Schizosaccharomyces pombe: one gene and its partners. Changing the gene in region 3 together with the main gene of any one other region gives a genetic interaction. Each region holds a gene or a part of one and is shown on either strand. Other genes may lie near its edges.

What was found.
Region 1: mutations in SPOM_SPAC26A3.11 (region 3) and rsv2 together harm fitness less than expected from each alone (positive genetic interaction), as found in Schizosaccharomyces pombe (one large-scale study listed by BioGRID).
Region 2: mutations in SPOM_SPAC26A3.11 (region 3) and crt10 together harm fitness more than expected from each alone (negative genetic interaction), as found in Schizosaccharomyces pombe (one large-scale study listed by BioGRID).
Region 4: mutations in SPOM_SPAC26A3.11 (region 3) and rok1 together harm fitness more than expected from each alone (negative genetic interaction), as found in Schizosaccharomyces pombe (one large-scale study listed by BioGRID).

What each region holds. Positions count from the first base shown.
Region 1 is NC_003423.3:3,529,482-3,537,717, reverse strand, and holds rsv2 (DNA-binding transcription factor Rsv2), read right to left. Parts: upstream 4,791-8,236; 5' UTR 4,788-4,790; coding exon 2,874-4,787; 3' UTR 2,430-2,873; downstream 1-2,429. Other genes in the region: RNase P subunit Rpr2, read left to right, coding at 1-158; signal peptidase complex subunit Spc1, read right to left, coding at 293-358, 414-500, 546-629; 3-hydroxyacyl-ACP dehydratase Htd2, read left to right, coding at 1,413-2,315; SPOM_SPBC1105.13C (uncharacterized protein), read left to right, coding at 5,530-5,958; hhf3 (histone H4 h4.3), read right to left, coding at 7,640-7,951; hht3 (histone H3 h3.3), read left to right, coding at 8,189-8,236.
Region 2 is NC_003423.3:1,326,788-1,335,162, reverse strand, and holds crt10 (WD repeat protein Crt10, involved in ribosomal RNA decay), read right to left. Parts: upstream 6,448-8,375; 5' UTR 6,370-6,447; coding exon 6,325-6,369; intron 6,273-6,324; coding exon 6,164-6,272; intron 6,118-6,163; exon of another isoform or gene 6,082-6,117; coding exon 5,748-6,081; exon of another isoform or gene 5,706-5,747; coding exon 5,608-5,705; exon of another isoform or gene 5,567-5,607; coding exon 5,446-5,566; exon of another isoform or gene 5,403-5,445; intron 5,399-5,402; coding exon 5,179-5,398; intron 5,125-5,178; coding exon 4,696-5,124; intron 4,649-4,695; coding exon 4,556-4,648; 3' UTR 4,348-4,555; downstream 1-4,347. Other genes in the region: SPOM_SPBC27B12.07 (uncharacterized protein), read right to left, coding at 1-164, 232-556, 668-1,051; gpi13 (pig-O family ethanolamine phosphate transferase), read right to left, coding at 1,341-4,097; FAR complex subunit Csc2, read left to right, coding at 6,571-8,375.
Region 3 is NC_003424.3:3,352,938-3,360,510, forward strand, and holds SPOM_SPAC26A3.11 (mitochondrial omega-amidase), read left to right. Parts: upstream 1-3,739; 5' UTR 3,740-3,794; coding exon 3,795-4,142; exon of another isoform or gene 4,143-4,191; coding exon 4,192-4,812; 3' UTR 4,813-4,965; downstream 4,966-7,573. Other genes in the region: cnt6 (centaurin ADOP ribosylation factor GTPase-activating protein), read left to right, coding at 48-2,678; 5'-3' exoribonuclease Dhp1, read right to left, coding at 4,980-7,573.
Region 4 is NC_003424.3:686,550-694,167, reverse strand, and holds rok1 (ATP-dependent RNA helicase Rok1), read right to left. Parts: upstream 4,816-7,618; 5' UTR 4,686-4,815; coding exon 3,240-4,685; 3' UTR 3,046-3,239; downstream 1-3,045. Other genes in the region: lon1 (Lon protease), read right to left, coding at 1-337; mitochondrial aspartyl/glutamyl-tRNA amidotransferase subunit B-related Aim41, read right to left, coding at 1,107-1,319, 1,443-1,601; atp20 (F0-ATPase subunit G), read right to left, coding at 2,184-2,315, 2,365-2,462, 2,512-2,638; MBF transcription factor complex subunit Res2, read right to left, coding at 5,438-7,179, 7,344-7,575.

The DNA of each region.
Region 1 (8,236 bases), on a different chromosome or scaffold from region 3:
GCACCATATGTAAAGGATGTAACTCTTTATTGGTACCAGGAAAGTCATGTTCAATAAGATTTGAGGAACCATCACGGAAAAATCCATCTATCGATCGTGTATTGTGGATATGCAAAAAATGTGCGTTTAAAAAAAGGTTTTCGGACAAAAGTTGTTAAAACATGTTTAGCATTACTTTTGGAATGAAAGATTATTTGTATTCTATAAAGCCGGAGCAACTTTTGTTTGGTATTTTGGTTCTTTAATTTCGCGAGATTGCGATTCAAGTAAAGAAAGATTCCCCATTTCCCGCTTACTCCTTTTTCTTTTGAAATTTTAAAGGGTTTTTGTTGTACATAGACCAAGCAGGAAGACACACCTATTTTTAAATGAATGTTAATATTACATGACTAGAAGCAAAAAAACTAGCTTACAAGAGCCACCAACGATGCTAAAATTAAAAACAATTTAATCACACAATAAGAATCTTGAACTAAATACCCATAAATGTACGAAATAACCTATAGATATATTAGTAAATAAATGAGATTTTATCCCTGACATACAGCACTTGTACATAGACCATAGTTCATATACTTTTGACACCTTAATTGTCCTGCAAAATCGATCGTACCTTCAAGATAGTTCATGGTATGCTTGCTCTTTCTCAAAACAGTAAAGTTGCTTTTTGTATTATGTGGTTACAACGAATGAATCTCGTTATCGTTCGGTTTACCATAATAACGTGTTGTAATCCAATAGCACGTTGTACATTGATGAATATGAAACAAAAAACAAGCAAAAAAAGAGGCATGAAAATATATAGGCAAATCGGTTGCTCCTTCATTTTCAATAGATGTAAATCAACACCTCAATGTCAAATTCGATTTGAAAATGAAAAAGCGGCTCATTGATGACCTATTAACATTATATAGAAATGATCTTTACAATTAACAGGTTAAGGTACTTCAGCGTTCATAAACGATTAATAATTAATAAAGATTCACCAACAAGGGCTTAATTTAAATGTATGTGACTTAAATCGTATATTAATTGCTTAGGTGGTTTTTTTTTTCATTTGGTGAAATTATCTTTTATTAGATGTGCGATTATCATAAATTTTGCTAGTACTTCATTGCTAAAAGAGGTCAAGTCTCCACTAACGGTATAAAACAAGCATTACACGTATACCTTAAGCAATTTGGGTCGTGCCAAAAGCAATTAGTAATGTGTAGCTGTTAAAGTTATTAGGTTCCATAAAATTAAGAGCTTATTGCTTCAAAGATTTGTCCTTTCCGATTTTAAAAGTTGAGGTCTTCTTAGGGATAATTGCTTCGGCTAATTTATAATAATTTCTAATAGATCACCTTCAGTATTGATAAATTGCCTACTTGAAAAGTCAATGTGCAAAGCGTTTCAGAAAGTAATCATCGATGTCAGCAAAGGTCGTTTTAAAGGATTTCTTATCTCAAGCGCCAATTGATAAGTTAAAAGCTACTTTAAGTGGTCATTTGCCTGTTAGTTGCATAACAATGGATGCTAAAATAACATCATTACAGCCTGGTTACCATTTTCTTTTTTTCTCTTTAGCATCTCCTGAATCAAATTTGAATTCAGATGGATATGAAAGTCTTTATTCCCCAAAGCCAAATAATCCTTTTTCTTTTAAGCGCCGAATATGGTTACATGGAGTCCTTCGTTTTCATAGACCTTTACATCTTTTCCAAACTTCGGAATGTCATGAATTGATTCAGGAAGAATCTGTGAAATCTCCATCAATTACAAAAGAAGTTGAAGCTTGTCTTCCAAAAAGTTCTTTTCTAACAAAGCCTACTTCAGAAAAACAGACAAAGCATGTATATATTCGAAGAAAAATTTACGACAGTCAGCATCAATTATGTATCGAGGAAGATAGAACATTAGCCTATTTAAATCGACAAGAACTGGCTATACCAAAAACTTTACGTAGCAAAAGTATTCCACAACACTCTTGGGTATTCACACCTACACCTATTATGGTGTTTCGCTATTCAGCATTAATGTTTAATGCTCATATGATCCATTGGAATGCGACATACGCTACAAAGTCCGAAAATTATCCAAATCTCGTTCTTCCAGGTCCTCTTCTAGTGACTAGTATGTTAGAGTACTTTCGTTCTGTTTATCCCCAAATGTCAAAGAACATGAAAAGATTTGAGTTTCGATTATTATCTCCCGCGTTTGTCAATCAACCACTACGCATATGTATCTCAGAGACAGGTAACCTATGGATTGATCGATTTACTACAGACCTTGATCCACCGTCTTTGATTGCTAGAGGCCGCGTCTATACCTAACATAACTGAAAAACAATAATAATTAATACCGGCAGAAAAAATATTTCTAAATTACAAATACTACTTACTAATATTAAAATTTAAGTATGTAAAACTAAATCAAATTACATGATAGGTATTCAATTTAAGGTGAAAACACACAAAATTTTTTATTAACATTTAACAGTAACTTGGTAAGAAAAAAAAAACAATATTAACCAATCCCAATAAAAATGAAAACAAAATATAAAAACACTTATGACCGTCCAAAATAAAAAAGGAAACCGTTAGACGGAGAAGGGGTTTGAAATTACACATGAAGCTTGAGGATACGATGAAATGAAGAGGCAAAATTAAGATGATAAATGTACATGAAAGGAGACAAAGGAAAAAGCACTTTCAAAAGGGCTGTGAAATAATAACGGTACCAATTTTTTTCTTGAAAATAATTAGCAAAATGCAACTTTTTTTAAAATTCATAAACAAGGAATCAATGAAGAAGCGTAAGAGGTGAAAAATGACAATAGATAATGCAATAACCTTTTTTTAATATTTGTGGCAGAAGAGACTCCTTTCAATTTATCTACCGTGTTTCACACGGAGATGCCTAACCAAGGCATCATGTCTACTGAAATGGCGTTGATCGCCACAAATCTCACATCGAAATACAGGTCGTGTCTTAGCATGTATCGTATCCTGGTGACGGATCAAATCATACGTCCTAGAAAACACTGTGTTACAAATTTCTCCTGTAACTCTGTTCTGAAGAGTACACCGAACTGGACCAATTTGTTTACCAAATTTAAACTTCCTACGCTTCCTCTGAGCACCCGTAGCAGTAGTAGAAGAATTTGTAGGAGTGGTGTCAACAGGAGCAGATCCGTTGGGGCCATCAGCAGCAGCACCGGTGATGCTTACTTTTTGGTTGGTTGGATTAGGTACCACGGAATGAGAAGACCTAGTATTGTAATACGACTTAACGTCATTTAGGTCATGAGTAGCAGCCGATTGAGAGTGAGGAGCGTTGGAACTGTCTAACTCTGAAGTCGGTAATAAGTTAGGTATATTAGCAGAGGTTTTAACAGGAGAAGTGAGTGGAGGAGAGGAGCTGATCGTAGTATTTGAAGGTACGACAACAGGAGGCTGTGAAGGAGAAAGTGAATGTGGATTTACCGACGTACCAAGCACCAAGGAGGGGCGATGCTTGGCATTGTATGATCGCGTTATCGGAGGAGACAAAGAAGGGATGCGTTGTTTAATAGATTCTTTATTGAAGCTGTCCTGCCGAACATCGGAGTGCATGTTATCATTGACCATAGATACATCCTTCCCATCATATATCTGAGCGGAGTTTTCTTGAGGAAGAAGAGAGTCAGCAGCAGCTCCCAGAGCATGAGAACGGCGTAACGCAGTGCTCGTCGCCGAGTCCTTCATAGGATGCGCCCGCACTTCCGGATTTTGTTCCATACGGGATTGAAGTCCCGTTGGAGATACAAGGGAGGAATCCTTGTTGTCGGTATAAAGGTTCTTAGAGGAATCAAAATTTTGGGTCTTGAGAGGATTGTTAAGGGTAGAGGGATTTGCTTGGTGTTGAGGTGAGACATCTTTTGAGACTCTGTCTGACTTTTGATTGTGACCCAGTGACCTTTTTAAGTCACTTCCATTCTCCAAATAATCGGTTGAAAAAGGACCACTAGGAAGAGAGGCGTCCTTTACAAGTTGTTCGGAGACAGAGTCACTTGCATCCATGGATATCGAGGGCAACGGTTCCATATCCAAAGGTGGAGAATTCATGGGAAATGGATTACCGTTGATGTCGGAAATCGCGCCAGTGCCATCAGCAATCACCTGACTAGGTAAATCGAAAGAGTTGGAGAAGGGCTGGTCATTAATGGTGGAAGCAGATGGAGTAAGAGGAGGAGGGACGGACATGCTTGCAGATGCGTTACTCCCAGCATTTCCACTGGGGGAACTGTTAGCAGTAATAATGTGATTCGTTTGAGCCGAGGTAGGTTCGTTCGACCCGTTGACAGGAGGTGTGGTGATAAATTGATGATTGCTGCCAAGGGACGAAGGGACACTTGGAAAGTTAGCAGCGTTACCATAGTCAGATGCTAAGGGATCAAATGGCATGTCCATCGAGGAATCGGGAATAGTGTCGAGGGAGAAGGGGTCCATTGTGTCAGCATCGTTGTAGACACGAATGGGAACGTTCATCATATAGTCCCAGGAGGACATATCAGATAAATCTGAGTTATTTTCTTCTAACGTAGTAGGGTTAAAACGCTTTAAATTGAGTTCGGGCATCGAGATTTGCTCGAATTCAGCATCCGAGAATGCATTCGGAAATACATTAGTCACAGAGCGACCATTCATTTTGGATTTACGATTTTGTTGCAATTGGGATCCATTAAATTGCCAATCTGGAGTGGGAAAGTTATCGTTCCCATTACTAGAAATTGATCTTGCATATGTGTTGTTTGTAGTGTCCATACTACCCAGCAAAGATGCGCGAGGCAATGTATATATAAAGAATGACGTCAAGCGTCTGATTGAAAAAACCACCCTTGTCAAACAACATTGGTTAGCAATTGACGTCGTTTTACATTGATTGAGCCAATCAGAGGCCGCCAATGAAGTAGCATGGAAATGTCAGAATGCGCTGGCAGTGCTGCTGATTCGTTCTTTTCAAATAAAAGCGCGTAATGTGTAAGCGAACCCCAATTACATTCCTTCAATCTGCGACTTGCGCTCTACGCTGTCCTCTCATATGGAAAGCGAGCTTCCAGTACTTAAATCACCTTATATATCGCGGTTAGTCATAACGCACTAATGAAGGAATACGCTGCAAGCTTCATTCCAAAAGCAATCATAGAATGAGGTCAAAATGAAGAGGCGGAGTCGGGGAAAGATGAGATTGAAGGATGAATCAAGTCCACGATACTTTTAGGTCATATCACGACGTTGATTTGCATCTTACTCTAGTTACTCGTACTTTAGAGATGCGATGGAATTGAGGATGTTTGGTACAACAAATGTCTTGTTTTTCGTTTGCGCCGTGTCACGCTACTCCTAAGATAGCAGCTAAATGAAAAGTCTAAAAACGCTAAAAAAATTTCCTCCCTACATGTTCAAGTCAATCAAGTGCTTCATGTTCCCGATCACCATATCGGCATCGCAATGCAGACCTCGATTGCTTACTTAAACTCGGTAATCTCGTCTTCCGTTACCCTACATGATCACGGAATTCATCAAGTCGTTTTTACTTTTTTTTTTCCTTCCCTTCTTTCTTTCGATGCCGATGATCTTCGCTACTCTGGGGGAGTTTACCGACGATCAAACTCATCATTATTCCACGCTTCCGTCGTGTGACCTTCTCCTTATTCGTGGAGAAGTTAAAGAAAATGCCAGATGCTTCTTGCATAACCCAAAAATTAGTCATCAGCATCATTCTTTCTGGTCCTTAATAGAAGGATGTTTGGAGGCGCTGCAATTTGGCTTACTAGCAATTCTTCAGGGATTATTTTCTCAGTTTGCATGGGAAGCCTGCTCTTGTACCTTTGCATGCATGCTTCTTACTAGCGAACGTACTGAACCGTCTTATCCGTTTTCCGAGATTACAGAGGTCAGTCGTGGTGGGTTGCACTTCGTTAAGTTGAATTAAGTATGCTTAACTCAGGTGAAGTCAATTTGTCGATGTCGATGAGATTGGCTAGTACACGAAGGGGATGCGGAGCTGCTAAGCAGAGGAGTGATTTAACTATGAAACCAATTCGTAGGATAAAGTATACTTTACCGATCGATATGGATGATGCAGATGTAGGAATCAATTATTCTACTTTCTTGTGAAAAGCATAACCCATGTGTATTATTTTCAAACAAGTCAAACAGATGGATAGCCAACACGCATATGACTGCTTACTCAAGTACAAATGACTTTTAGAGCATACCAATTTCAACAGACTTTTATCACTAGTGCAACTATCTTTTTATCAGTTGTAGTCTTTCAAACATCAATAATCACTGGCATTCACACACGGCAATACCAATCATTATGTTATTACGAGAACAACTCGTGAACAAATGGATTCCAGTGTGTTCTAGCATACACATAAATGTCTCGTCTTTCTACTTTATTATTTAGTCGATGAGTGGAACAATTAATAAACTTACCATTCAATATTGCACTGACAAACGTATACTTTTTTATATTTCTCTTTCTTTTCGTAGGCTTTACGTACTTACTCTTCCTTATTTTCCTCTGCAACGAAAAAGAGGATTGGATTATGGGCTTCGTCAAACGTTACAATTACAGAGTAACCTTGTAATAAGATGAAGTAAAATATAAAGTAAACGACGTGTAGTGATAAAAAATCTGTATTTTTGTCAAAGTGAACTTAATTGTTCAACGCGTTCTGATGTCATATGCCCAAAAATAATTCACCTACCCAAGGTAATTGAAAAATTTGTCAATACAAAACGAATGCTTTATAAACACAAAAGAAAACATGTCAGATTAGAGAAAGAGTCGTACGCTCTCATTGCTGAAAGCTTTTTATCCTTAACACTTTACTGGAATTTGTTAGTCCCGTTGACTATGTGGTTGTTAGATACAGATTAGGTAAATTCATTTATTGTGGTATTAAGCAAGGAGCGGAAGAAAGTACGTACTTTTTTACATTGTTAAAAGTTTTATTTGACGAAATTACAACACTTAATAAGTATCTAAGTATGCGATCGAGCTGATTCAATTTGATATCTCTCAATTAGAAAGTTGCGTATTACCTCACAACTACGATGTACCGTACAATTCACAATCTTCCTGGCTATGCAACTGTTTGCTATCAACTAGTCGCTTAGATAACCTTCTTTAACCCCATTCACTAGACACACTTTCCCCATACCCAGAAAGATGACACGAAGAACAGTGTAACGCATCAACTAGGTTAATTTGCTTAAGGTCGCACAAACAATTACCTAAAGAAAAACTTGCGCGTTTACTATATTTGTACTACTTATAAATATCACGATACGATTCGGGTTTAATGAACATTATATTAATCATTTCATTCAATAAATGTATTAATCACAAATCCACGAAGAAAAATTCATCTTCTTGTCAGATGGAGTATTCAGCCGTGATACAACGCGATATGAAAAATTTCTCACAAAGACCAAACGCCTTTTTGTCTATGAATTGCACTAGCAAATTGATAATGCTTCTTCTGATATCGCCCAGATGAAAAACATTCTCGTTTGGCATGTATATATAGAATAGTTATAGTGTACACATAAAATTGATAGACTCGAAACAAAAAATTCGGAGTCGGCAATTGATATCGAATTTAACCACCGAAACCATAAATGGTACGGCCTTGACGCTTCAAAGAGTAGACAACATCCAAAGATGTAACAGTCTTACGCTTGGCATGCTCAGTATAGGTGACAGCATCACGAATAACATTTTCCAAGAAGAGCTTGAGGACAGCACGAGTCTCTTCGTAAACTAAAGCGGAAATACGCTTAACACCACCACGACGAGCAAGACGACGAATGGCAGGCTTAGTAATACCTTGAATATTGTCACGAAGGATCTTACGGTGACGCTTGGCACCACCCTTTCCTAAACCTTTTCCACCTTTACCACGGCCAGACATATTGCACTATTAATATTAACGAAATAGAGTTACTACTATAAACAGTGCTTCTATTGCTAGTAGGGTATGCGGCATTTCACAATATATATTAATGCGCCGTCCCTATTAACTTACGTCAATTTAATTAAAGGGTTAGGGTTGTGATCAAAGTTGGATGTAGGGACATATTTATACAGCGTAATCTCCCTATAATTTGTTTTTATCTACACAGGGCAATTATCAGAACACTAGAAAATAATGGCTCGTACTAAGCAAACTGCACGTAAATCAACTGGTGGTAAGGCT
Region 2 (8,375 bases), on a different chromosome or scaffold from region 3:
TCACATATGGGAGAGATTAGTATCAGTATAATCATCGCGCTTGTTATCTAAATTAAATGAACCTAAATTATCAAGCTCATCTTGTTTTTCTTTTTTTCTGCTTCGTACTCCAAGTCCAAATGGAATAACCAGCACTAAAAACCCTGTAAAAGCCATCACCACACCTGAAAAAGAAAAGGAAATTAATAAATGAAATTTCAAATACCTAGTTTGAACTATAAATATACTTACCTGCTGCTTTTCTTATTTGGTCCCATTTCTGCCTCTCATTTTCAGCCCTCAATTTACCTAACGAAACGGCTAATAAATTGTGTAGTTCAACAATTCTTGCACTCAATTGCTGGACTTCATTCTTTGTATCATTTTTCCGATTTTCAAACTCCATTTTGCTTTCGGTATTAAGCTTGTTTAACTGCTCGTGAACCAATTGTTCCAAACTTTCTACTTCCCTTTGGTTTGAAAACAAGCCTGAACGTAACGAACTGATTTGATCTTTTCTCATATTTATTTTCTCTGAGCGAAGCTCCGACAAAGCTGTACGAAACAAATAGGAGCACTATACAAGTTAGCTATGACAGTTCATTTGAAAGCAAAAAAAACCGTCAATCTATAATTAAAGATAAATTTAAAGACGGAAGGATTCTGTAGCTTAATAAATCATACGTACATTTTCAAAATCAGCTTCAGACAGGTAATTGAGATGACTATGTCGCAGCATATCAGTAACAAACATATTCGTGACTTCGAGAAGACCCTCGGCCTCTTTTTCTGTATATCCTTTATCCATTAAAGTTTTCAAAAATGTAAATGTGTTGAAGTGATATCCTTCAAGGTCTCTGAAAGGACGATTTTCGTGATTGGCATTTACTACTGAAAGACCCTTTTCCATTTCACCTGCATCTGTCCCTTCTGATGCATAAAATCGAATTTGCTTCGTTAAGGATAAAGAATAAGGAATTAAACGAAAAGTATTGATACTATGCACTTTAATCCCATGCAAGGTAATTCGGGATCGATTAACATCTATAGCTTTTCGTAGCAAAGAGAACATTTTGTCAAGCTACCAAATTTTGATTATAAATTAAGCAACTTATTAACAGACATAATTAATTTTTGTTAAAAATTGGGTACGATGATTGTGGTGAATGTTAAATGTACATATCAGAAGGCGTAAAGGAGTAGTATGGGTGTACCCATAGAAAATAATAATGATGAAAATGCATTGATAAGTGGTTTTGATTATTTCCTTATAAGGTTTAAAATGTTAAAGGATATAAAAGAAAATATTTCTACAATTCTAATTATACGTCAAATTGAACGAGGGCAGTGAAGCTTTATTGTTATTCAGCATCTTCAGGAAATTTGACAACAGAACTTCCGAAGCATTGGATCAGGACAAAGAGCTGATGAGTAACAAGTAATATTCCACTTAGCATAAACCGAGGTGCAAACACTTTCCAAACCATCAAATGGCGACGAAAAAATCCAGCAAAGAAGACAGTACTCGTCGAGATCAATAGGTTATAAAGAATGAAAGAAAAGGAGAATCGAAACAAGTTTATCAAGAATCTATTTTTCTTGGAAAGTGGTTCGAATGAAAATAGTGGAATCGAAATGCAAGTAAGTATCGGCGCACCGACCGTATGCAAAAACATGAATATAGCGCTTATAGCCTGGTTTTCAGCAGATTTTGAATGAATGAATGCAAAATTCCAATCAAGAGACGATATAGCAGCCTGATTTCCCGTTGTAAAAAAATGCGACAATCCCAATAAACCTAGCGTTACCGAAAAGAAGTTGTGACCAACACTTGGCTGCCATTGTTTAAGTTGAATAAGAAGCAGGATTTGTAAAAAGCAAGAAAATAAAGAGAGATGTCCCAGGGGCCTTTGCAAAAATGAGAGAAAAGAATATAGTAATGCAAAAACGAAATATGATCTTTCGATGACATTTATTTTAGCAAACTTGGATCGCGACAGTAAGAAGAATTGCCATATCAAAACACCAAGAATGCAAATTACGTAAGTATTTGCAAGTGAGTATAAAACATGATGATACTGCTTTTCTAATAAAGCATCATTCGCGAAAACATGATGAGCAATCCAAAATATTGAAGATATTAACTCGAAAAAATAGAGGATTGAAAGATGATAAAGTTTTAAAGAAAGGCCAAGAACGCGTCGCAAGTGAAGTTGCAGAATGAGAGGCAATATAATAGAAGAAAGAGCCATTAACGCCAAAACAATCAAGGTTCTGAGGCTGTTATCAGGAGTTGAGATGTACGTGCTAACACAAAACGCACCTTGCTCTTCGCGACAGTTAGTTACGTACGAAGAAATTACCTGTAAAAGGATAAATGCCAATGCAGAGTAAGTAGAGCATGCAAAAAGGGGGCTCATTTCGGAAAAGCATTTGCAAAACATAACTAGTCCAATAGTGATGATCAAGAAGTGACAAAGGCGATCTTCCCATACTGTAAAAGAGTTGGAACCAAAACTGCAAACGTGTAGAAAAGTTATAAAAATACTAAAGTAGTCCAACTTGACAAAACCTTTAAAGTACTCCATCAACTTCTGATTAAAGGAATTTAACAGGATGTAAAATGAAGGAAGTAATACATAGAATTCCGCCGGGAACGGAGAATGAAGTTCGTTGTTTGCCAAAATTAAAATTAAGCAAACCGGCAAACATTTCATGACTGATGGAGCCATATTGGCAGACATCCTAAAAATCACCGACTTATCTTGCATCAACAAAGCCAAGTTAAATCCACCTATAATAAGAAGTAAAAATCCAATGATCATAGGGAAAAGACTAAACTCCGCCCAAATTGCTTTAAAGTAAGAGAATGCGTCTCTTGCATAGTCAAAGTCTAAAAAGTATTGATCTAAATAAGAGTTATTATTTTTATGGACAGAGGACGAAAGGAAGTCAGAAGCATCTAAATCATACTCGCTAAAGAAGCGATTGAGTTGACCGATATTAATCTTTTGGGCTTTCGACAAATATTCATCTCCATAGTAGTAAAAAGGTTCTGGAATTAAGGTACCAAGGTTGCCATACGGAATGGGATTTCCTAAGAGCAAACTTAAGGTAGGAACTAGATCTACCTGATTTGCACTTAGTACTTTACCTGGTTGTTTCAAATAGCCAAAGGTTGGCTTTTTGCTATACATCCACAGTACAGAGTTAATTTCATCGAATGAATCACCACCGTGATTTCCTTTGTTGTCCATACCATGATCTCCCATGACAATGAGTAATGTACTATCATCCAGTAGATCCATCATTTCTTTCACACACCTGTCCATTTGATTCAGTTTATCTCGCATTGTTGGATGATCAGGTCCCAAGCGGTGACCAACGTGGTCAACGCCCAAGTAGTGTGCTATTAGGACATCAAAGTTGGCATCTTTTATATAATCGAATACATATTGATTAACCTTATTATCTACTCCATGAAGATCAGGTACATTGAAAGAAAAAGCAGGTTGAGAGAGTGTCTCATTCAAATAATCATGGAACAATACGTCCCAAGTATCATCACCTAGCAATACGATTTGTTTATCTAATGATTTCCATTGGAGAAGCAGATTATCCTCATCAATATTTGTTCCAGCGAAGTTAGAACCAAGATCAATAAAAGTTGGTAACGAACCAGTAGTGAGACCTTTCAATCTTTGAGATGTAGTAGTTGGGGCATCTGCTATGAATTGTGTTAAGTAAGAGTTTTCTGGATGAAGGACAGAAGTTTCGTATGGAGTCGTGAATGCATTATGGTAATAATTGCTATCATTATAAGGTATTAAAAAGTCATAACGGAGAGCATCTATGATGACAATAACGGCCCGTTCAAATATTTTGGGAGCCCAACAACCTGATGAATTTTTCCATTCGCGCACATCGGCAGGCGGGTTTTCGCATAAAGACGTTTGGTTTAAAACAGCTCTTCGTAAAAGGAACCCGTCGGTGAACGATTTCAAGCCGTAAAAATTCGAAATTAGTATAATCGCGAAAAAGATGCAAGCTTGAATATATTTCCAAGTTCCAATGGTACTGGTAAGTTTTTTTTTACATTTTACCCTTTTTTCCTCCATGAATACTCCTTCTCTTTGATATATTACTTAAACGATTGAAGAAGGTAAATCGCAAGAACAAGTTCCGTGGTGAGGTTTAAGACATGTAAACATTGTAATGCATTCACCAAAGAAGATGGAAATAGGCTTAAAGTGACTGATAATTGGTTATGGAAATTTACCAAGAGTGAATTTTTAATTTTTAAATAAAAGCTTTCGCAACAAATTTAACTAGTAAGATCAACTTGCTTTTACGAGATGATTCTTACGGCAACCTAACTCTGTCGATTGATGCTATATATTTACTAGTTTTATTTTTAAAAATGTTAACTTTTCTCCTTTGTTGTAATTGTAATAACTTAATAGAAATAAACTGACAAACATCCCAAAGGGTAATATACATGTGTACGTAAAAACATCAACAAACATTAACACGGAAGAAAAAAGTAAAAACTTGAAAGTGTAATTTCCGTGAATCGTCAAAGAGGTATGTTTCCTATATGACTAGTGTCGTATAAATTTTCCGAGAGCTGAACTTCTACAGAAATAACTTTTCCGGTATAAACAGTAAGCTGTGAAATCACCAGTTAGCTAAAAACATAATCTTATAGATGCTTACCATTATTTTAAATCTTTTAAAAGGATTTTCTTCTCCAGGATACAATGGGCAAACACTCATTCCCAATAAAGGAGCATCCACCAAATGAGTGAGGCGAATTTTATGGGGAACAAATGAGTAAACATAAATTGGATTTCCATTGAGAATTTTTGTTGTACAAATCAAGCGAAGCAATGTTAATTGACCACTCTGACTGGCACAAACAACTGACTGTAATTCGGGAATACATTCTATCATATTGATTCTATGTAAAGCTTGAAACCTGGGGGTAATGGGTTCCTCAAAGCAATTTTTACTGCTCACCAAAGGAAATATTTGTGAATTTCCCATGTAAGCACATAAAACTATTGAAAATTTCGTAGTAAAAATGAATAGTTCTTCAGGTTTCTGCCGCAGATAAGTACGAAAATAATTTTTTACCTTCGTCTTCTAAGTATGTTAATTAAAATGTATTTTAAATAACTCGTTTACAAGGAGCCTTACCGGAAGTTCATCCTGTATATGAACATAGTATTCACCTTCAAAAACCGCGTCGTCATCGAAATCTTCTTCATGCGATAATAAGAAAGCTGAACTGGACATGATGGGTGGCTTCCAAGGGCTTTGGCCAAATTGTTGCGCCGGAATAAGAGATCCCGGTTTGTGCTTTAGGATGGAAATATGATAGAACGCATTTTTATCAATGAACTTAACTCCCCAAATACTAGAAAGTTAGTAATTAGTTTTCGAAATTCAGCTTTTTATTACAACCTTAACTTTGTATAAAACTTGCAAAGGCAACTTAATGAAGTTATATCCCATATCTGAAGTGATCGATCAATAGATCCACTCAGTAATAATGTTCCTGAAGAATTAAATGTTATACACGGTACTAAAATCATTAGACAATGTAAAGTATTCGTAACCGCATACTATTATGTTCATGTCCTTCCAGTACTAATGTCTCTTGTCTAAACCAAGGAGAATGGTAATCCTCTTTAAATCGTTTAAATTCAGGCGACAGATGAAATCTGAATTACAATTAGAAGATCGGTATTATTGAATGAGCGTACAAATTAACATTGTGAGAATTGGAAGATATGCCAAGGATCCTAAGAGGTGAAACTGCTAGTCCCCAAGCTGAATGCTGAACATCATAAATTATAGGCTCTCGATTTAACTTTTGAACATCGTATATCGCTACTTTTCCACAATCATTGGCGGTAATAAAATACTCCAAATCTCCAATTAATTCACAACGAACATTGTTGATGACATTTGGCATGTCTTGATTGATATCTCCTTGCCGCGAGGAAGATGCTTCATGAGGACAATGCAAATAAAAGCAAGGTTCAGGTTCTGAAGCATCTGATGAGATCTCCTTTAAGTCATAAACAAGAACTTCATCTATGTTACGTATTAGCTTTTATAATTACTTAAAAGAAATGATAAAGGGAGAACTCTTGTAATATAACATAGCATAACATACCGCCTACAACCACAAACAGAAAATTCTTCGTTTTACTACATGAAATCAGTGAATTTCTCCAAAAATGAAAGGATTTCTCTTTCAATGTGAATAATTCTTTAACATTAATCTAAAATGATATATCAGTAAAAGACAATCGAATTTTGTAAACAAAGCAGTACATATAGATAGTTTAGGAATTCATCAACTGTTAGGTCTCTTTGCATTATTTTATAAATATTCTTTTTTAGCAAACAATTTGCTTAAAAACGTCAAGGGCACATTAATGTTCATTTGATGTGGTTGTGAGTTCTTGTATTACACCCATTAGGAACCCTATTCATAACAACTTCGACGGCATTTCCCATAAAATCAACAACGAAAGCCTTCAAAAGCTTTGGAGATTTAGTTTAGACGGGCAATAAAGTATGGCTGCTACAACGGCTAGTTGTATTTCTTTCAGTCAATTCCAAAGACTAAAGAAACTTATTGATTCCCCAGCGTCTAAACACAAACCTATGGAATTCAAAGGAACTTCTAAAGATGATTTGGAGGACGATTTGAATAGTTTTTTCGATTGCGAAGAAGAATTGTTTCTTTCCGCTAATAAAATATTCTACTCAAAGTTAAGAGTTTATCAAACTGTCCGTCACTGGAGCCTCAAACAAAATTGGTCTTCCATGAGTTTGGACCAGAAGCGCAATTTTATCCTTCATTGCCATCACGAACTCTCTTCGGGTGAATTGCTGCGCAACAGCGCTCTTTACTCGATCCTGTACATAGCAGCTGGTGCTTACGATTCCGTTGGCAGTTTTGAAGAACACGTCCATAGTATTTCAGAAAACGTTTATCTGCTGCGAGAGTTTGATATTCCTAAGACTGTTTATTCTCTTTTTATCGAATGGAATCGTACCCGTAAACACAGCTTTCTGGATAACAGTAGAGACGAAGGTTTTCTTAATTTACTATTATCTCTAATGTTCTTTTTTTTGACTCTCAACAATACTGATAAAACGTGGATTCATTCTATCCGATCATTAAATCCCCCGGTATTGCCTACATTAGTAAAACTATTTATTGACATAACCAGCGATTATCAGTTGAACCTCGATAAGGTTATTCATTCATCTCTAAAAAAATTATCCTTTTTGATTTTTAAAGTTTGCATTCGTCTTTGGGGATCTCAGTCTTATTTACAGGAAAAAAAGGCTGGGTTGGCCGAAGTTTTAAACATCTCTACGTCTCAGCAAAAGCCAAAAACCACAGCATTAGACTACGAAGTTTTTCGTCATGAAATGGCTACTAAGTTTTCTTCTTTTGCTGATTCTTATTACCCTGTACCACTTGATCGTGAACAAGCACACATACTACCTACTCTCAATACAGACTCTTTTCATAAATCATCCTTTATATCTAGTACCCGACTTTGCTCACCCGAAAATCCATCACTTTTGGTGAATACTGCAAAAACCAGCAAAATGTCCGCTCGAAGGGAACAATTTCAAACTAACCAAAATTTACCATTTTGCTTTACCCCTAACTTGGAGAAGCTTACAATACCTTACAGTGTTACAGAGGCTGCCAATGTTTTCCAAAATAAAACGAAGAGAACTCTAGCGGTTGAACAATTGTTATCTGAAAGAGAGCTTTTACGTCGCTTTACTTTGCAGCAACGACTCGTTGCAGATCTGCATGAGTTTTACAATTCAGTGAAGGGACCTGCTCATTCATTTGAAACAGAAGATCCTGTTCTTAAATTTGTCTCTCAATCCTATGATGACTTATTCCCGTATATGGATAATTTTATTCAGTTAGCAGTCCAACTGTTTTACCATATTTCAAAAAAAGTTAATTGCCTTTACGTAGAGGCTTTCTCTTCTTCAGACGCTGTTTTACAACGAATTCAAGACAATGCAGTTGTAGACTCGCCTACTGAAGAATTAAGTGAACAGGCTGCTAGGAATCGTAAGTCTAATGTAAAAATTGAATATACGGAAGACTTTGCAACAGGATTCGCAATTTCGGGTGAGATTTCTCATTCAATAAATAACCTCGAATTTGTGCTATATTCTTTGTCAAGTCTATTTTTGATGATGTTGAAATGGTTTCGCTTGTCTCATGTGCTACGTTTTGAAAGATTAGCATTTTTATTGTATGAAAATCATTTTTTGGAAATTTTCAATCGTCACCTTACAGAAGGGGATTGTAATAGGAATACCGAAAAGGATGTAAA
Region 3 (7,573 bases):
GATGTTCTTATTTCCATATACGATTTTACTAACTTTGTAAAAATTAGGATTCTACATCAAAAGAGTGCCTCCCTAAGTTTAGTTTTCAAAACAAGCTAGACTTCTACTTTTTATTCAGTGATCGTGTTCTCCAGTTGCAGAAGGAGAGGAAAGTACTTGTACTCATCCATTGCGAATCGCTTCAATCGTTTGATTCTTTTTTTGCTCAGAAGTTGAAATATGCAGACTTAATTTCTTCGGATAATGTACATGAAATTTTTTTACCAGATTCAAATGCGGCCAATATCAGATATCATTGGGAGTGGTCACCTCCTTCGGGTAAACTTCTGGAGTATGAATGCAAAAACTATTCTTGCATAGCCGTTTACTCTACTGAAGACTGTACTCTTGAACGTATCTCAAAATTTAGCTACTACACCGTATCTCGTTGCGGTGATTCTATGGATGATACATTTTTTTCGGAAAGCCAGCGTGTCACGTCGCCGCTAACTACTAGCCAGACGGTACAAACCCAACCTCCTCAATCTCCGGAAGCGAAGACGGAGCTTTCATTGATTAATACCAAGACCGTTATATTCCCAGAGAATTATGAGGATGGACCGTCATTCCGATCTATGTTGCATGAGCTTGAGCAAAAATCATCTCTTATGAAGTATTATTGCAAAAAAATAATGAAACGTATTGTCCAATTAAGTGATGCATACGATGCATCGCAAGTTGCTGTTATGAAATTGTCAGAGACACTTTCGGAAGCTTCTAATAGCACCAGTATGAATATGGACATACTTCTGGACAGTTATTTAACCAAGGCTATGGACATTCATGCCACCTTTATACAAAAACTTAATTATGATTTAATTAATCTTTTATATGAGCCATTTCATAACATTTACTCAAGCTTCATTAAGCCAATTGATGATAGACGACTTGAATTTGATGAACAAAGCAAAAGCTTTTATGGATCTTTGTCGCGTTATCTATCAGCTAAAAAGGACAAAAAGGGAGGAGACTCTAAATTTTTTCAAAAAGAGAAAACGTTTGCCTTACAACGATATGATTACTATTGTTTTATGCAAGACCTTCACGATGGTTCCATTATTAATGATATTAACGGTATTTTTTTGCAGTACTTTCATCGCCAATATGACCATATTGCACTTTTTAGTAATTTGATGAATAGTGTTCTTCCGAATCTTCAGCAACTCAATTTAAAACTTGAAAAAACAAAATGGAGTACAACCAGACGTGACAAGGGCAGAGAGATGCATCGTTCCCAGGTAATTCAAACTAGCGGTCGTCCAAAGTCCATGGCACCGCCTTCACCATCTCCGATTTCCCCTTCTTTCCCTTTACATGAAATACAGAGTCCTATGCCAAATCGTCGCATGGCAGCCTCTGCAGATGATATTAGCCAGACAAGCAATTTTACAACGGAGATAAAGGGAAAGTGCATTTCTAATGGGGGTAGTGCAAGCCCTGACAAGATTTTTAAAGAGGGTCTACTCTTAGTATTTGGTGCTACCGAACTTGGTACAGATCTAGCTATGGTTAGTAAAGCCGCTTGGCACAAGCACTGGATTGTTGTTGAGAACGGTTCTTTATGGGAGTATGCAAACTGGAAAGATTCCGTAAAATCTAATGTTTCATCCATTTCGTTAAAACATGCATCTGCTGATAAAGTTCGCAAACAGGGAAGGAGGTTTTGTTTCGAAGTTGTAACTCCGAAATTGAAGCGACTTTATCAAGCCACGTCTGCTGAAGAGATGGACTCGTGGATTGAAGCTATATGCGAAGCAGCAAAGATTTCGTCTTTCCAACTTTCTAGGGTTGCAACGCCGTTGAGTGCAAGTGTGAGACGACCCTCTAAGGTATTTCCACTATTTTCTACGAGTTTTGAGACCACGCCTATCAGCCGAAAATTAAGCGGTTCGGGTATTAAGAAGGCTTTCAGTAGAAAAGGCTCGTGGAACCTTCAACAATTTTTTCGATCAGACAATTCGGGTACTATGCATATGGAACAGTTAGAGAGATACCATGCCAGTGCAAACATTTTCATTCAAATGCTCCGAAAGACCGATGTCTCTAACAGTGTGTGTGCAGATTGCGGTTCGGTTAAAGATGTTACTTGGTGCTCGATCAATATACCGGTAGTTCTTTGTATTGAATGCAGTGGTATACATAGGTCTTTAGGTACTCATATATCGAAAACACGTTCTTTGCTACTCGACTCGTTATCGCAGCAATCGAAAGTCCTTTTGTGCAAAATTGGTAATGCTGCTGTCAACCGTGTTTATGAAAAAGGACTTTCTAATCCTTCGCTGAAGCCAAAGCCGGAGCATAATGCGCAGGTGAAGTTGGCATTTGCCCAGAAGAAGTATGTGGAACACGCATTCATTGACTTTGCAGGAGTAGATGCTGATGCTACTTTATTGGAGGGTTTGGAGCAAAATAAAATCTCCAAAATATTACTAGGTTTAGCCGCCAAACCAAATTTTGAAGAGAATGGAGTGGTGTTTTTAAAAGCGGTTACTCGTGATACTAGTAAGTTACATCTCTTGGAACTTTTATTCATGAATGGGTTATTGCTTCCTGACTCCGAACAGTTGTCGGAGCATGTAAGTCCAGATATGCAATCATATCTTTCGCAAAAACAATTTACAAAGTATTTGAAAGAGTAGGGAGAAGCATTTTTACTTTTTGCATCAAATCATCTTTTATGTTCATTTTTCCAATCGAATTCATTCTTTCTTTTTACCATCTATTTCAATATCTATTCAGGTGTCATTTCATTTCGGATTTCCGTGAATTCCATGATTTGAAGCGCAACGAATTTGAATGGAGAGCTTATTAATCTCCACAGCTTTACTCTTATTCGGATCATGTGTTAATTCTATAATTTATTATTGCAATTTATTTTGGTTGTTTGCTAAACAACGTAATTTACTCATTATTTTCTTGGTCATCTTTTGGTTTTCGAACTTTCTTTTCCTCTTTATTTTCATTATACTCTTAATCTTTTTTCTTTCAATACAAAATTTTTTGACTAAGGATACAGCTATTCTTTCTTTAAATACGCATTCAAATGCGATTTTTAGGCTCTTCTCGATTGATGGATCTTATGCATGCCATAAGTTCATTTGTTATTGAACAAGATCAATATTCAATATACGTGAAATTAACATGTATGCCAAACAGTTCATTCGAGCTATTATAACATTTATTTTCTTCTTTTGCGAAACGAAGACGCTTAAGATTTTATTTTTCAACACATTCGGAACAACTGAATATCTATAGTAATTGAATCCCCTTTTTCTAAAAATGACAGACGATATTATCATTACCTATAAACTAGTTGACACAGTAATAAATATCATTCTTTTGTAACTTGTAGATAAACAAAAACAATTTTTTTGGTCTTGCCTTCCGTAACATTCAAACAACGATTTCTATTTGTGTAGTTGCTGCTTGAATGTAAATCCCTTTTTCTTCTTTAGATTTACAATAGATTGAAAACTAGTTTGATGTCGACATTCTTCTTATCAAAGACATGGAAGTTTGATCACCTTGCTAAATTTCTTTTTGATAACAAGGTGTAATTTGGATTGGAGGATTTCGCTAGCCACGTGCTTAATAAGTTACATTGAGATTTCAGGAATATAATATTTTGGAGCTCAAAATTATCGCAAGCTAGATATTCTGAGACTAGCCTACAAATCAGGACATCTTCCCTCGTATCTTTGCTTTCTACTCATTCCTCTTCCTTCACCTAAAATTTCAAGTCGGTGATTGTTTATATGAACAGTAAATTTTTTGGACTCGTTCAAAAAGGCACAAGATCCTTTTTTCCTTCATTAAATTTTTGCTATACAAGGAACATCATGTCTGTCTCAGCTTCATCTCTGGTTCCTAAAGATTTTCGTGCTTTTCGTATTGGCTTGGTTCAGCTTGCCAATACCAAAGACAAGAGCGAAAATTTACAACTCGCTCGTTTAAAAGTATTGGAAGCCGCTAAAAACGGTTCTAATGTCATTGTATTACCAGAAATTTTCAATTCACCATATGGTACTGGTTACTTTAATCAGTATGCTGAACCTATAGAGGAATCATCTCCTTCTTACCAAGCTTTATCCTCTATGGCAAAGGTTTGTTAATTTAATTTTCGTTGATTATGTGAGACTAACGGTACTGTAGGATACTAAGACTTACTTATTTGGCGGTTCTATTCCTGAACGCAAGGATGGCAAATTATACAACACTGCAATGGTGTTTGATCCTTCTGGAAAATTGATAGCCGTTCATCGGAAAATTCATTTATTCGATATTGACATTCCTGGTGGAGTTAGCTTCCGCGAATCTGATAGTCTTTCACCTGGCGACGCCATGACTATGGTTGACACTGAATACGGGAAGTTTGGTTTGGGTATTTGTTACGATATACGATTTCCGGAACTCGCTATGATAGCAGCTAGAAATGGCTGTAGTGTGATGATTTACCCTGGAGCATTTAATTTGTCCACAGGCCCTTTACATTGGGAACTACTTGCACGAGCCCGAGCAGTTGATAATGAGATGTTCGTTGCTTGCTGTGCCCCTGCTAGAGATATGAACGCTGACTATCATTCATGGGGACATTCTACTGTTGTAGACCCTTTCGGAAAAGTTATTGCTACTACTGATGAAAAACCGTCTATCGTTTACGCAGATATTGATCCCTCTGTCATGTCTACCGCTCGAAACAGCGTTCCTATCTATACTCAACGCCGCTTTGATGTTTATTCAGAAGTATTACCTGCTCTTAAGAAAGAGGAATAGATCGGTATAGTTGTTGAGTATAATTTTATGTTATCAACATGCATTTTGTAACTGAATTGCATAACTAATTATGCAATGTGCCAATGAAATTCAAATAATCAGATATATTATTTATCTCCAATATCCCAAACCCGCTTTCAAAATTGTACTAAGAAAACTTAAATGTATTAATAGTAGCCATTCCTGTTATTATTGTTATAGGATTCTCGCTGATAGCCGTAACCCTTTCCGCGATTACTACTATAGTGGTTACCAGCTGGCGGTCCATTCGAATAACCACCACCTCTCGAGCGCCCGCCGTATCCTTCGTGGCCGCCGCGAGAGTTATAGCTTGCATTAGAACGAGGAAAATTGCCATTACCAGACCAAGGAGGTTGAACTCCACCGTTTGCAAAACCATTAGTAACTCCAGTGTAGCTCTGTCGACTACTGTAACTTTGCGATTGGTAAGAGCGTCGGACACCATAACTTTGGTGTCCTCCACGATACGAATTACCATTGTTTCGGCGGGAAGAAAAGCTCCTCTCTGCACGTACTTGGTTGATATCTTCTGGGGTTAACACCCTGTTCGGCATTTTCACTCCCCTTAAAAGCATGGATTTATGTACGAAATGCGATTTAGGTACTTCAAACACAAGACTTATAGATTGATTATCATCTATGCTTCCATACTTCTGAAGGGCGTCAGCGGATGTAACATCAATTGGGCATTGAACGGATACATTGGGAATTACGGAATCATTGGTGTTAACTTTGCCAAACAATCCATGTGCCATCTTTCCGGATAACTTAAGTGGTTTACCTTGACGTTTCTTGGAGTAAAGTTGTTTGACAAGTTCGCTAAACATTGGATGATGTTCAGAAATAAATAATAAAGTAGAACCATCCTCATTTCTTTTTGACTCTTCCTCGGTAAGTTGAGGATAGATTTTTGATACAGCATTCAAAAGCCGATTTTCATCTATAAATGGTAAAAGAGCAACTCCCTGCCATTCAAATTTTTTCCCGTTTAAATCAATAGTAAAATTTTCCGGGTAAAAGTCAATAATTTCAGAGTTTTCATCAGTCATAAGAGTTTGCAATTTTTCAGGTAAATTATTTTTACTAGCAGCAGGTAAAACGCCTAGTAATTGTTCGTAAGGCTTGAAGGGTTGATTTAGTTCAAATTTTACATCTATGGAGGCCAAATCTTTGAAATCAGCGGCAAAAGGAGCATAATGATATGGATAATACCAGGTCCAAGATGGACAGCCTTGATAATAATACAAAAGAACCCAGCACAATCCATGAACATAATGTTTAACAGCTTCACGAATTTTTTCTGGTTCATCGGGTGAAATGTGGAATTTTTGTTCATAATACCGTTCGCGGTATCCAGGCTCATACAGGCGGACTGTATCAGTATTTTCATTTTCTTCAGTCGAATCTGGGGCCTTTCTCTTCTGACCCACATTTGAAACTTTTGTGTCTATTGGATGTACAACAGGGGTACTAGATTCAATACTATCGGTATCTTCATATGCACTGGATGAAGCTATGCTGTCTTCCAAAGGAACATTTTGTAGTGTCTCATTTGAAACCAACTGAGCTTTCAATGCAGAGGCCGCCAATTTGTTAACTGAAGAAACAGCAGCTGCTTCCCTAGAAAGTCCAAGACGGTTAGCAGCGCGATTATTAATTAATTCTCTATTAGTAGCGCCTAGAGATCGATTTGAAGTTTTTTCAGACAAATTAACCAAATCCACTGGAGCCGGAGCGTCAATTTTTTGAGTTTTCTTTGGCGGTTTAGTATCAACAGAAGTTGATTTAGAAGAGGTAACAACTTCTGTCGATTGCGTCTCAACTGAACGCTGAATTACGACGTTGTCAACATAAGATTCTGATTCCTGATTTGACTCGCGTTGTTGACGGCGTCTATAGTTTTCGTTACGACGATCTTCTTGCTGTTTAAGACGCTTAAAAATATCATCTTCCTGGTTACCTACAGCACTCAGAATGACTTCAGCACGAGCTAAATTAACAGAACCATCCAAAGTAAGATAACCACCCATGTGCGGAAGACTAGCTCGCCATATTTCAGTCAACCGCTCTACGGCACCATCACGAATATCTAAACTAGGCAAATGAGGAAGAAAATCATTACCCACAAAAAAGATAAAGAAGACCCAGTCGTCAATCGCACGTTCTAAGTCAAATGGAAAAGGTAAATTGGGGACATAAAGTTCCACTTCTAGATACTCCCTCAAAATGCTAACGTTGAGCCATATAAATGGTTTTTTTACAGGAACCTTATTGGTCTCAGAAACATCATCAAGTCTCTTGATGCCAAGACGCTCTTCCTTTGTCTTTTTAGTACTTCCTTGTTGAAAGAAGACATCTTCACGCAATACACGAAAATGGGGTTCATGAGTAGCCAAACCAAGCATAATTAGGTCTGCATCTAAACCGTAAACAACGTGGTGTGTATTTGGATCATACTCTGGTTTCACTCGTTGAGATCGAATAAATTCCATGATCTTATGCTCACCTTCACCAGGAACCGAGGCGTCAGAAAGTATAAATCTGACATTTCTCCAGCACGGATCACTATTTAGTTTATTTATTATGTAGTAACGAAGAGACTTGGCCAAAGTGTCCATGAAAGGTGTGCCGGGGGTAATGCAATTACTGTCCCAAGATTTTTTCTTCGTAGCGTTTTCGTCGATGGGAATTCCCTGTTGTTTTGCCTCCTCAATGAAGGCTTGTAATTCTTCTTCTTTGA
Region 4 (7,618 bases), 2.7 Mb from region 3:
CCTCAGTCTTATTTGAAGAAGATTTCAAATTTTGCTTAAAATCGTCATTATCCTTTTTTTTCTTTTTATCCGTAGATGGCAAAGATTCGTTGGTATGTGACTCATCTTCATTATGTGTCTTTTTGGGATCGTTTTTGTTATCCAGTGGTTTGTTATCTTTTGGTTCTTTACTTTTGAAAACAACATTTGAAGTACGAAAAGGTCCGACTGAGCATTTTAAAACCCTCTGTGTAGTGGAAAAACTAGCAAGCAAAGACCGATGAACCAAATGTTCACGAGGCCAATTTCTTTTAGCACCTGATCGCCTCAAGCAAGCGCCCGATAAACGTGTAATCATGGGCCTGTACGAATTTAAATTACAAACTGGCACAAAGAACGTTTCGGGCTATTATTAATTTTCTGGCGTATTTAAAGGTAGTTGGTAATTGCTGAGTTAGCTGGTAAGTCGCCGTCACATAATGAGCGCAAAGAGGGAATTGGCTTACTTGCCTCCAACCTCCAATGCTATTAAATAAACCATTCAAGCATTTAATACAATACTCATTATAAAGGAAAAAAATTAAAGTTTCCAATTTTTTCGGCTTCAAATAGTTCAACAGATGAGATATCGAAGCGTTGCAATAGTTTCACTTACTTTACCGCATTAACTTTTATTTTAAATAATTAAGATACCGATCGCTTATCAAATTTTAACCAAAATTTCATTACTAATAATAAGATAATGCTGTTAAGAGCTGAAAACAGCGACGATTGTTTAATTTAATTGTATGAATGGAAACTCACATGCATAAATTGAATCAGTGTAAAAAAACTCAGAAAGCTTCTCATTACATAAGTCTTAGCTGTTCAATTCAAAACATTGAAAGAGCGCATAGCATTTACAGGATATGTAATGATACGTTGCAGAATCAATCGTGTCATATTGCTGCGTAGTATAACATTGTTATTAAAAAACCAAAAGAAACTGTCTTTAGTAGCGTGGCTTGCACACATTAAGAACGTTGAGTTATTTAAGTCAAGATATTTTTAAATTCGAGGGTAAGCTGATAAAGCATTGAAGGATAGAGACTTATTAAATGACTAGATTGTATTCTTTTTACAGATTTTTAAATATTACTAGCATGTTCAGGTAGGAATTGTCGTAAAGTTTGAATCTGAGATTCTTCTTTTTCCGCTAGATCAAGACGCTCAGCCTTGCGAAACTGTTCAATAGCTTGTTTACGCTTTTTTATGTTTTTTTTAAGTACTCGCAGAACGTCTAAGTCTGTAGTAACTGGCTTACTCGACTTGTTTGCATATTCGATTTCCGAGAGAAATACCTAAGCTTGTTAGCGTCATATTCATCTACAAACATAGATAACATAGTTCTGACAGCCTCTTCACATTGCTTGAACACTGATGCAATTTAACATGTAGACCGTCACGTTTTATTTCCAACGTACTTTTAAAGTAGACGCAACATCTTTTTGCCTAGATTTCATGGAATCCAGCAATTTTTTACGAATAACTGCTTGAAGATTTGGGATTGCTGAAGCGTTAGCAAATAAATGACTATTCCTAAGTTTGCTTACATGTACTATTATAGCGTAAGTATTGTACATTACGAATAGCTATCCTTGATGTGTGTACTAAGCGTTGATTAAACATTGAATTCTTTTTCTTGGATTATGTTTTCAGGTCAGACCCAAAAATTCCCCTAAAGGTGGTGTAGCGCAGAAAGTATTTGGTAGTAGGATTATCCCATTTTGTTTGGAGATGTGGAAACTAAAATATGCGAAATCGCTCATTGACAGTGAGGTAACTCCATCAATTTAGCAATATTTATTTATTAGTACAAACTGATTTTAAGATTGATTGCGAAAATGAGACATTTGCTTTCGGTAGATTTTACAATTAAATTAATGGTTATTCAAAATCAAAATTGAAAAACAAGCAATACAGTGCCGGGTAATAACACTTACGCCTACAATTAGGTCCTGCTACCTAAGACCTATAATTTAGTTTCCCTATTAACAGAAATGCTTTATAAAGACCTCATCTTAATATGTTAACAAAAGATAGTTATTAATAGTCTCATTTATTGAACAGCCTGGTGTATGTTGGAGACAAAATGAATTCGCAGTAGTTGAAATGCATAAGTATCCAGCAATCAGAAGCTTTTATGAAAGATTAAATTCATCTTTTTAATGATATGGAGTAATTTTTCTACGACCAACCATCTGGCCAGCGCAGAAAATACCAACTATTTCAACTGCGATGAAAAAATTGCGGCCCCATGCTTCAGAGGATTGACTTTTCCAAAAAAGGAAGGGAGACTAAAAGAGAAATTAGTGGATCTGTTCTTTGTAGCAAATAGTTGCTTACATGAGTATTGGAAGGGGGTGCAATTTTTTGAGAATGATATACTTGTTGAACCAGCTCTTTCGAAACATTTGCCCAGTACATAATAGGTTGTTGTACAGCTAAATTGAAAAAGTTAGTTAAACAAATTAACCGTTATGTTTAAAATACCCGATAATTTTTGGATTAAGGGAGTGAAACGACCCTTGGCTTGTTCAGCAACTGTTTTAGTAGAGTAGTGACTCTTCCTTAAAAAATTGTAATTAATACGAGAGATAATTCGACTTGTGGAAAACATTATACTTCGAAATAGCCTGAATTGGAAAGAGATGGGATTCGGTAAGTTAAGGTTGTGATGAAGTTTCTACTCCCATATACCAATTAAGTAACACCAATTTTTCTCCGTTCATAGGTAATTTCAATGATACACAATATAAAGTAAGTTAAAACAATATAATATTTACTGAAACACACTCGTGATTTCGAAAACGAGAAATTATAAAACAGTGTCAGCAACGTAATATAGCTTTCAAATTGTAGTTAAAATAACAATTGCAAAAACCCTGTTGGGTACTTAAAATAAAATAATCTCCTTGTACCTGTTTACGCCTACATTAATTGTACTCGTGTAGATTTTTATCAGTTTTAAAAAGCCGTACAGCACTTGCTGCATTATTGTTAAACAAAAGATGTAAAGTTAGATATGTCAGGTACCACAGTAACATAAAAGTTTCTTACCACAAATAAAAGTAAAAGAAAATAATATGATTGCTAAAAAATATAAGGCTCTATTATATCAAAGCAATAGTATTTTGGAGTGAATATGACTTTTTTAAATGAACACAAAAACTAAACTAAAACCCAAAACCCTTTATATAAATACTTTCAGTAGCAACAATCTATTGTCCACTGTCTCCAGTAGCTTCATTATGCTTTTTGATAGAGGCTTCTTTTTTTACCTTCTTAATATACTCCTTCTTACGCTGTTCCTTTTGTCTGTCGTAAGAAGCTCTAGTAGTAATCCTCTTTCTTTTAGGAGGACTCTTCTTCAACTTCTTTTTCATTTCTTTACTAGGTTTAGGAAGTGCCATAACCCAGTTTGGAACCTCGCAACCTGATGAACGCATTACACCAGCAATAAGCTTGATATATTCACCATCTTCCTTTGTAAAAAAAGTAACGGCCTGTCCTGTATTTCCTGCACGCCCAGTTCGACCGATACGATGAATATAACTATGAACACTTTGAGGAAAGTCAAAGTTGATGACCATCTTTACACCATGAAAATCGATACCACGAGCAAGAAGATCTGTTGCTATTAAAACCCAAATTTCACCCTTCCGAAATTTCGCAAGTGCTTCTTCGCGCTTGGCTTGTGGTAATTCTCCATGAATGACACCAACGTGAATTTCATCAAATAAGAGTTCTGTGTACAATGCTTTCGCTCTTTCTATATCTTGAACAAATATTACGACTCGAGGCTTTAACTCTCCATTTGAAATCATTTGACGCAAAATCACAATTTTGGAAGTATCCGAACCAACAAACAAGAGTCTCTGATCGATGCTATCCGTGGCTGCATCTTTCAAACCAACGATGATTCGAATCGGATCAACCGTTACGACTTTAGCTAACTCTTCGACGCGTGATGGAATAGTAGCGGAAAAAAGGCTTTTACAAATATTAGAGCTGGTGCATGCACTTAGAATATGATCAGTTTGTTCAATAAAGCCAGGCTCAAAAAGTCTATCAGCTTCATCCATAACAAAGAATTCTACTTTTTCAAAGGACAATCCGGTTTGTATTGCTTGTACTAATCTCATCGGGGTGCCTATGCACATGTCATACTTTTCCCGGAGCTTGGGCGCTTTTTCTTGAATTTTTTCATTAGATTTACTTAATTCAATTATCTTCAATGAAGTTCCAAAAGACAGCTTTTCTGCCTGTCTATATATTTGCTCGCACAGTTCTCTAGTCGGCGCTACGATAATCGCTCTATATCCACCCGGAACATGTAACTGAAGTTTTTGCAAAATTGGGAATAGATATGCAATAGTTTTTCCAGAACCAGTTGGTGCACATGCCAATAGGTCTCGTTTAGAACCTATCGTTGGAATGGCATATCTTTGAATTGTGGTACATTCTGTTATGTTTTGTTTTTTTAAGTTTTCACAAAGTATTCCTTCCGGAAACTCTTCAATTGGATCAACAGGATTATTACCAGTAACTTTAGCTTTTCCCTTAGTAATACCTTGTAATTTTTTTGCTTCTTTTTCTTTTATAGAAGGTTGAGGTACTTTATTCTTAAATTTGACATTAGTTGTCAAAAGTTTCAACGCATCCATTTCCTTATGCAATACTTAATTATCAAAGTTAAAATATTTTAGTAGATATTTCAACGAAGGAACAAAAATAAAAGATTGTTGAAATTTTCAATTATACATATACACGACTAAAGTAAGTATGGTAGCTGCTGGGGAAAGGCTGCACTAACGTCCTCTAGTTAAACCAGTACGTTAATTCAAATTGTGTATTCCAACAGCGTTATTAAATTTATGTATGCTAAGTAAACATAATAAATGTATTCAAAAAAACGCGATTTCTGCGTTTATAGGTTACATATTTTTATATCGTATTTACGAGAAATACTGCTATAGATTTTCTTTCAATTAAATAATTGATTATTTGTATTAATCACTCTTTTACCTATTTGAACAGGACCCTCAAATTAAAGTGAAGCTCAGTAACTTGGTATCCTTTAGATGATCATTAACGTGCGAATGCAAAAAGGATGAATCATGAATGGAAGCACGCGCTGTAAATGAGATAAATCATTTTACAATAGTAGATTGTTTTAGCTGCGCATAAATAAGTAACATAATAGTTTTGTTAGGAAGGAGCAATATATGTTTTTTCCACTTGATTCCATTCGAAAATAATATATAAAATAACTCGTGTTTTTCTATCAAAGTATGATAACGTTGATAAATGCAGTTTGACAGTGAGTGTCATGGATAAAATCATTAACTATCATAACTCGTATCATTAAATAAAGAACGTAACATTAAGACAAGATGTAAATGAAAGTTTCCAAGATTCATTTTTCTCGGGTTAATGCTTCTTCCACAGCATCGAGTATTTCCAAACTCAAATCTTCAGGGTTGATGCCACAACTCATTGCAATAAGACGACGGTAACTATTAACTGTATCATCAATTCCTAGTTCTTCATACAATTTTCTAATATACAAAGTATCTTTTTTGCGGGAAGCTTGGAGAGAAGTTAACTTATTAATTAATTGCTCATATTCATCAGAATTGGTCACGTTGTTGCAAGCCGGCTTTTTAAAATCGTTATTTAACGAAAGTCCGTCTTCCTTTTTTAAAAAGTCGGAAGGAAAACTAATAGATAATGAAGTATGTGGCTTGAGGCTTCTCTCTAAATCAAAGATTTGTCGTGCTTCCAACCATATTAGTAACCTCTTCGAAAGCTGCTGGTAAGTTTCTTGGGCCTCTCGAATCAAGTTTTCCATAGATTGACTATAAGTGGGGTTATTTTTCTGCAGAAAGGTCAATTCCTGATAAGTTCTGGAAATTTCATTAAGCGTGTCTTGCTTGAGACGATTCGCTCTAATCAAATCTTCTTCTTTTTCTCGAAGCTGAGATTCATACTCCTCTGCTAATTGAGAAAATTTCGAAGATATTGAAGGAATTGCCTTAACAAAAGCATGCGATGAGCATGATGGCGAGATAATAGCAGGGCTTATTCCGGAAAATGAAAAAGCACTATGCGAAGCATTTGAGTTTGACTGTAACAATGAATGTGGCTTTTTGTCAGCTTCCAAAAGATACTCGGAAGCTGTACGTCTTTGTCGGTTAGGAATAGAAGGATTGGCGTTATAACTTAATAAAGAGTTTACACAATCCATGGCTCCATTTCGAGCAGCAATTAATAGAGAGGTATCTCCATTTGAATCTTGTAGATTTACCAATCTCACAACATTTTCAAATGGTTGAATCGATATTAGTTTCTCTAATATGCAATCCAAATAGTATTTGGCCGCTGCAACTTTTGAAGGAGTTGAGGTTGATTGCACAATATGATGAAAAATTGACTGACCATTGGTGTCAACAGCATAAATAGTAGACTGGAGAAGCTCAAGCACTTGTCCAAAAGTTTGGCAGTCATAATTATTGGTAAAGATAACACTCCTCATCAATGGTGTTTGACTCAGTCTGTTACACACGCCAATGTCAGCATTGGCTCTCAGTAATAACTTAATCATCTCTATATGTCCCATTGAGCATGCCCAATGAAGAGAAGTGTGGCCATCATCATCAATAACACTGTTAACTTGAAAATCCGGGGGCGGCGAATACAGGAAGGAAGGAATGCGTCCCTCTTCTGGGTGAAGAAAGAAGTCAAGTAGTGACTCTTCATATTTGTCAAGCGGTGCCTCCAACATGCCTAACTCTTCAACAGGTTTTATAGTGTTATCATTTGGTGATAGCAGTGCATTAGGAGACGCTGGCAGAGGTGTTGCAGAAACTTGCTCCTCTGCACCAGGCAAATTCACTTTATTCATAGATGACTCAATTGTTGGTGATATAGAAGAATTCGGTTGTTTTTCATTGACGGAATGCAAAGTGCTACTAGAAAGTGACGACGGTTTACGGCCTCTACGGCCACGTACAGAAGGCTTTTTCTGCTTGGTCTGCTTCTTCTTTGGAGCAATTGCTTTTCCCTCATCAATGTCAAGACTCAATATTGGGCTCATTATTCCGTCAACCTTATACTTTGTGGCCAGGTCGACCCCACGCTGAAATGGAACCCAAGTTCCTATAGTTTGGTTAATACCGTCAATCATTTAGAGGACGCGTCCATAGAGATATTTAATACAAAAAGGTATTAAAATACCTCGATTTGGCTTAGTAAACACTCAATTGTTCGCGTTGTTCAAAGATAGCAAATCATGTCACAACGCGTAACAGTAGACAACTTACCCTGATATTTTCCATATCCACCTTGTACTTTTTCATGCGCACCAATCTGTACTTGTCTTTCTAAAACCCTTGTCCTTTGTGGTTTGTCAAAGTCAGCCACTTTCAAGATTTGTGTAGCATTCAACCAGGAATCGCGGCGTCTGCGCATCACAGAGACACCTTTAATAAAGCATTCATAGACTTCAACCCCAGAATAAACGGCAACATGTACTGCGGAAGAACGTGGAGCCATTACAGCAAAAGGCAGTTAAAATGCGTAGCGCGGACTCTTAAAA